Nothobranchius furzeri: one gene and its partner. The protein of the gene in region 2 purifies or fractionates together with the protein of the main gene of each other region. This does not show direct contact. Links are inferred from orthologs where the notes say so. Each region holds a gene or a part of one and is shown on either strand. Other genes may lie near its edges.

What was found.
Region 1: the proteins of lztfl1 (region 2) and bbs7 purify together in Homo sapiens (affinity purification with mass spectrometry; 3 studies listed by BioGRID and IntAct, counting the BioPlex papers as one, with this or other methods). This does not show direct contact. The link is inferred for Nothobranchius furzeri from reciprocal best matches to the Homo sapiens genes LZTFL1 and BBS7.

The regions. Positions count from the first base shown.
Region 1 is NC_091741.1:74,291,698-74,294,574, reverse strand, and holds the end of bbs7 (Bardet-Biedl syndrome 7 protein), read right to left. Parts: intron 2,854-2,877; coding exon 2,779-2,853; intron 2,700-2,778; coding exon 2,631-2,699; intron 2,332-2,630; coding exon 2,192-2,331; intron 1,842-2,191; coding exon 1,677-1,841; intron 1,591-1,676; coding exon 1,481-1,590; intron 1,390-1,480; coding exon 1,286-1,389; intron 1,210-1,285; coding exon 1,086-1,209; intron 977-1,085; coding exon 843-976; 3' UTR 501-842; downstream 1-500.
Region 2 is NC_091747.1:45,027,241-45,031,540, reverse strand, and holds the start of lztfl1 (leucine zipper transcription factor-like protein 1), read left to right. Parts: upstream 1-1,500; 5' UTR 1,501-1,636; coding exon 1,637-1,639; intron 1,640-1,926; coding exon 1,927-2,051; intron 2,052-2,213; coding exon 2,214-2,408; intron 2,409-4,300. UniProt on the Homo sapiens protein: Regulates ciliary localization of the BBSome complex. Together with the BBSome complex, controls SMO ciliary trafficking and contributes to the sonic hedgehog (SHH) pathway regulation. May play a role in neurite outgrowth. May have tumor suppressor function.

The sequences.
Region 1 (2,877 bases), on a different chromosome or scaffold from region 2:
TAATTGCAAATTTAAAACCGGTTTGAAAAAAAGATCCCAAATACAAAGTTAAACGCGAGTAACAACAACGTTAACGCATTTGGAATAAAAATCTTTGCTGCAACAATTATGTATATTTATATCATTAGAAGCACTTCAACATACTTAGACGTCTTCCTAACCTAGGGCTCGTGCTTGAGGTCATTTCTAGGTCCACCAGTATACTTGTTTACTGAAAGACTTGCACATATGTTTAGTTTAAGAAATTACTCATAAGACTATAATTTAAAATGTTTAAATACTATTGTATTTTTATGTTTGGCTTTATTTTTCATGTGTCCTATTCTTACATTAGGTTGAATGACCACTTATGCTGATTAGATAAATTTGTGTATAAAACTTAAATCCACATGGAAGTACCTAACCCAGTATACAGCAACAACTTGTTTCTTGACGAATCTGTTGTAGCATGAGGTACATTACATTAAGATGTAAATAATATGGAATAAAATTGAAAACAATTGGTGTGTTAGCTATTTTTTACTGACAAGTTACTGCACAAGGACTGGTTTAATACAGAAAGATTAGATATTAAATTGAGTAGCATTTGACACACATACTATAACTGTAACAAATTCCATCAAATTCTTGCATGAAAATAAGAGTATTGCAGTATTCTCCTAACCATTTGCAGTACGCCTTAATACATCAAAAGTAATTTATTACTCAACTCTTAAGGGAGAGTAAATTATTTCTAAATAAAATTTAACAAAATAACACAGTCTCAAAGATGAACTATCGTCATGTAAAGATTGCAACACAACAACCGTCACAGAGATAGATCATCTTTGGCCATTATGGCATCATGGCTCATTGAAAAAGTCTAAGAGTGACTTTAATTCGTAATTATCAAGTATCTCCAACAACGAGGACACTTTTGTTTTCACATTTTGGCCCTTGAATTTGAATTTGTCGATGAAGAGGTCAGTGATCATTCCTGCAGGAAAACAGAAATACACACAAAACTTTATAAAGTGAAAATCAAAAAGCAACAATAACAAAAATTAATCAACAGTGAAAGTTAGTTCTTTTTACTCCAGCTTTACCGTAAAGCCTTTCAAGGTGGGCTGGCTGCTTCTTGTACTCCTCCAGAAGGTTAGCAGACTCATCCAAAATGCTGCGGTACTCTGGGATGAGGAAATCTGCATTTCCTTCATGAACTTGAAGTTCCTAGGAAACATAGATTCAACTATAATGAACTGAATCATAAATAAACAGCAACAAAACACATTTAACCAAAACTTACTTTGAGAGCATCGACAAGTTGAACTTTTCTAGCCAGCACCAACTGATACTCCAGCTTTGGGTGGATCATCCTGAGGGTGTGGCTCACGGAGTCGTCATTAATATCTGGTAGATCAATAAACATGTTGTTCTATGTCGCTGAATGATGGCAAAAGACGTCTCAGCTTATCCGGAAACAGAAGAAAAATAAACATACCGTATGAAATGTTTAGATTGATTTTCTTCTTGGTAGCTTCTTTGGAAAGAACATCAGTCAGTATAGAGATAGTAGAAATATTGTCGGACTTGAAGTGGCCCTCCCCTTTGCTGAAATGAGACATTCAGACTCGTTCGCAACTGAAGTACTATTTCAGATGGAGTGCAGTATTATTTTACTTTGTGCATGCATTTACCTGTAGGTGGCTTCCAGCTGTGTGCCAAGGAATGTGTTATAGAAGTAGAAAGTAATGCTCTCGCCTGCCGGAGTTTTCTCAGGCACCTCTGGCAAACAGAAAACCACCCAGGAATGAATCTCTGCAAAACTGAACTGTCCCACCAAATTGAGCTGATTCATGGGTCTGAAAGAAAACAAATGAGAGATCACATTACTGAGTTAACTCTAATTATAATGAGAAATCTCTAAGATTACGGAAACAAACAAACACATACAGAAGGAAATAATACAATTTCTCAAAAGCCAAATGTAGTGTAGTGTAGTCTTGTTGAAGGCTATACAGCAATTCTCTTAATAAATACGGCTAAATGCATAATTCTTGATATCGAGTTTATTAATAAGTTTTGGCAATCTTATGCCTCAAGATAATTCCATGCTGTCATTTGATACATTTTTAGTAATGACTGCTCTAATCAGAAAATCTGAATAACTGAAATCCATGTATATACCGTATATATAGACTAAAATCATTACCTGTCTGGGTCTATACTGTGCGTCCGCTGGTGAAGGGACAGTGGTTTGATCTGATACTGCCGAACCTGACAGGTTTTTGGTTGCAGTCTGGGGGTAACATAAGCCTGCAGGGTCCCATACTGTCCCTCAATGGATCTCACCTATAAAAATGTTTCAGTTTGGGATTAAACATTTTATTCTGTGTTCAATTATTTATAAAACAGGTTTAAAAAGTAGATTAGGTAACAATTTTTAATAGAACATCTGTATAACACTGCATTAAAGCTTTTCTTTGAACAAGTATGGTAAGTGATTAAGTAAAAAGTAAAAGCAACCAGAATCAGAGAAAACTGGACCTAATGTGATAATATAGATTTATAAACAAAAGTAAACACTAAAGGCATGTCTGCATGGCTTCACTGCAAACCAGAGAGTGACAAGAGTCCAATGTTCTGCTTACCTTAAGCTCCATCCTTGTAGTGTTGGCCTGACATCTGTATGTGGCCAGGAGGAAGTTCCCATTAGGCTGCTGAAATAACAACAAGCATCAGACGGTTTGGAGCGGAGGCAGGATGGTTTTATGTAAAGAAAGTATTCATACAGCTCACCTCTGAGTCACATTCACTAAAACTGACGACAGCAGAGTTCTTATCAACGTCCAGCAGATCTATGGGGACGTCACTCTGTGTAAAAAATCCAAATTTAAA
Region 2 (4,300 bases):
ATCATGCCCTCTTCCCAAATGTCCTATTGGTGTTTTAATTGAAATGTAACAATCACAGTCTAAGATAAAGTTCATAAAGTTCACCTATATATGCAGCAGTAATTTTAGTTGCAACTTTTCCAAATATAGATTTAAATGATGGCATTGAGCCTTTTTCTCAAAATGTAAATGACTTACCGCGACTGAAGGTAAAGAGGAAACATCTTGGCCCCTGTTACTCACTAATGTTGTACACTAAACTTGAGTGGAAGAGCTCAGAATGGTCATAAGGCATTTGTCTGATTGGGTGACAAACCATGCGCTGCCTGTTAGTCTAATTTGATTACAGCTAGAGAGAAATGTGGAAAAGAAAACTTTCCATTTACCCCCCCCCCCCCCCCCCCAGGGTTTCTCCTAACAAGATAGAGAAGGAAGTTCCTTAGGTTTCAGCAAGGATGAAAAGATTTTTCAAGGTTTGATCAGGTTCACATGATTTCAATTGAATTTTTGCAGGAAAGACTCTAAACAGACCTTGAATGGGATCATAAATGTTAAAATTGGGCTAATGATTTGCAGAAATTGTTCTCCATGAGCTGTCACTGGCATTATCTGCCAATAGTTGTTATCACAGCATATGAAAGTTTTCAAACGTGCCCTATGAATAACGAGCTTTGTAGCTCCAATTTTTCTGGTTCTATACTGCCTTCCTCTGGTCAGTGCTACTCTGTGCAGCAGTGTTATAACAACCTGTTGTCAAACGTGTTTTAACTTTGGAAATAAAAAAATAAATGAAAAAATAAAAAATAAATAAATAAATAAATAAATTCGAACAGAAGAAATATGTGATTTCTGAAAAACTAAAATGAACTAAGGGAGAAAAACTATTGAAAAGTTGAATTTTTTTCTTTGTAATAAAACAATTCAACAAACCTCCCATAAAAAAATATCGGAGGTTTTGACATACAATGTTTCAGAACACATTTGCATTTACGATTTAAGAACACGGCAAGAGGCAGAATTAGAAAATATCGATCTTTAATACAACAAACATGACTTTATTGTGGAAATCATTGTTTGCACCCAGGAAAACAGAAAGCGTAGTGAATAAGACAATAAAACAACCAGATCTGGTTGAAATTAGCACATTTTTATGAGACATTTAATGCTCGAAAAACAAATCATACGATTGTTTTAGCTGGAAAAGCTGCACATTTGACAAAGGATAACTTAAAGCTTCATTTTATGATTAAATGCCGGTATAAACGTATTGCAAACGTAGCCATCACGAATATCTAACATTTTCGATGCAGAATTTCCGTTTTTAGTCATTTCTACATTTTTCACGTGATTTACGTAGCGCCTTTGAATGCACCTCTCGTAACCAAGGCAATGACGCTGTGTTTCGTTACCAAGGCATTCTCAAGGCAAACTTAGCTAAAAAGCTAAGCTAACAGATCTGCAAGATAATCTTATAGCTATGATATAGCGACAATTTAGCATCTTTAACGAGCTGAAAATACACAGAAAAGGGTTTCCTACATCCCGAGTCAACATATTTTGTCTAAAGCTTTTAGTTTGTTCCTAGAGTTGTCTAAATTAGAGTCAGAAAACCAATATTTCCTTTGGAAAAGCTCGGTCTACAAGCTACACAGCCATCATGGTAATTAGCTACTGCCGGGCATCGCGGTGTTGGCTACCTGATTTGCTTGTAGATGTCAAAATGCTGTTATGTTATGTTATGTTATGTTCCCTCTGAGCTAAAGTTAGCGAGCACTTCCATCCGTGCCAGCTCTCTTGATAAGGCCTTGTGGCATCTCGGCAAGAGAAAATCCTCTTCAAGTTAGCTGATAAGCTAACTGTGGCTACTATTACATCGATTGTTTTGGTGTATCTTCTATTTCTGAAACATTTTTTATGGGTCCAAATGTTTTTCTTGTCTCCATGCAGGCTGACTTTGGATTCAATGAACATCACCAGAATGAAATTATTAATTACATGCGATTTGCCCGTTCAAAGAGGGTCCTTAGGCTCAAGACTATTGACTCATGTTTTGAGGAACTCAAAGATAGCAGGTGAGTGATGATCACTTTTTCTGTCATTGTGTAAACGTCCTTTAATCTGATTTTGTGTAACTTTTTCTGTCATTGTGTAAACGTCCTTTAATCTGATTTTGTGTAAATAGAAATAAGATGTGATGCCTTTTCAGTTATTAGCATTTCTTAATGCGTCTGAAGGTTGGTGGAAGAGACATTCACAGTGGATGAGGTTAGAGAGATGATGGACGGGCTGCAGATGGTGGTGCGTGGAGAGGTGGAGATGGAGCTCATCAACACAGCCCACACTAACGTGCTGTTGCTCAGGCAACTTTTCTCCCAGGCTGAGAAGTTTTACCTCCGACTCCAGAGTGACATCTCAGAACTGGAGAACAGGTTTGGGAATCGGAAGTTTAATAGTCATCCTAAAGTATAAGATTTTACTTTTCTTAATGCATCATATTAAACCAACAAGTCTGAAAAGGCGATAATTGTTCTTTTTTTCAATGAAACTGTATCTAGTGGCTTTTTTGTATTTCTCATACTAGCTGTACTTATTTTCTGAAATAATTCAGTCTAATGCAAGAAAAAAATACTATAATGCAAGAACTCTTTATGTTTACAAGAACAAAAAAGCTGCCCCACTTTGTACCATACTGTATTTGACTTCCTCTTTAGATTCAGATCTCCAACATGCCATTTGCCAGGTAGAAAGGTCACTCATCCACCTGTGTTTAACTCAAGTTTCCATTGCACTAACACTTCTTCCATTACACTTATACAACAGGACTTTTTTAGATTAGATTGTGTAATAACCACAAGCTGTCACAATTCCCGTGCTTTAGGTTACAATAGAAACATGTTATCTTTTAGTTCATGCAGACTCCTGCTGTGATTTCTAATTTTATTGTTTTGGGGTGTTGAGGTAAAATCTTCAGACTTTTGGTAGAATGCTTTTAGTTTTTCTTAAATTACTTTTTTTCTATAAGATTTATTAGCATGCTGTGATAAAAAAAAAACTAAAAGCCAGGATTGTGCGAATAAAAGGCTCTCAAAGAATCTTTAGTGATCCGTTATTAGAAATAAATCTTATTACAACAAATCTGTTTATAAAAGCTTTCCAGCAAATTAAAATTATAGTTTCATTTGTGAATTTCTATAGATACTCATGCGAGTAGGTGAACATCTTCACCCGGTGGCTTGAGGCCATTTTTTAGCAAAGCAAATAGTTCTGAATGTTGAATAAAATAACACATTTGTAAATTTGGGACTAAATCAAGCTGCGTGTCCATTAAAAAAGAAAAAGCAAAAACTATTAATTTCAGCTTAAAAATACTCAGTTAAATGCTAAAAAAAATTGCTATAACTCATCACATTTTTACAGATACTGAACAAAAATTTCATGATAGCTGAGATTGTAATGTTACAAGATCACACCAAATGTTATTTCTTTTAAAAGATCTGAATTAAAACAACAGTAACTTCCTAATTTCTCATAAGATAATCTTGCAGGCAAAATGCCACGTCTAAATTTAAGTTATTTCTTCAATCTTTACTTATTATTTATAGTTTTTTTGGTAAATTGATTATTTTTATTCGTTATTCCCAAACACGAACGCATTTTTCCCTCAGTCAGCTCATTGAGCAACGTGGAGATGTACATGTGCATCTCCATGGGGCGACGGTGGCACAGGAGTTAAGTGCTCGCCCCGTAATCGGAAGGTTGCAGGTTCGAGCCCCGCTCAGTCTGTCGCTGTCGTTGTGTCCTTGGGCCTGCTGGTGGTGGTCGGATGGACCGGTGGCGTCAGTGCTCGGCAGCCTCGCCTCTGTCAGTGCGTCCCAGGGCAGCTGTGGTTACATCGTAGCTCATCCCCACCAGTGTGTGAATGTGTGTGTGTGAATGGATGAATGACTGATTGTGTTGTAAAGCACCTTGGGGGGTTCCAGGACTCTAGAAGGCGCTATATCAAATACAGGCCATTTACCATTTACCATTAATCGCTTTTGGATTCTTGGCAAAATCTTGACATTTTTGCAACAACATTTCTTTATATTCGTGCTTCAGGTTTAAAAATATACTCAAGAACACGTAACAGAGAAATAAATAAGACCAAATATTAGATTTGATTAAAAAAGGCCATCTTGATATCCAAACCGCATGCTAGCTTTCTAGAGATTTGAAGAATATATAAAATTATAAATACTTTTCATGTGCATCTTGCACAAAAGGTCATACCCTTTTGTTCTGTTCATAACATCATTTAACTTCTGGCTTCTTGTATTACTGG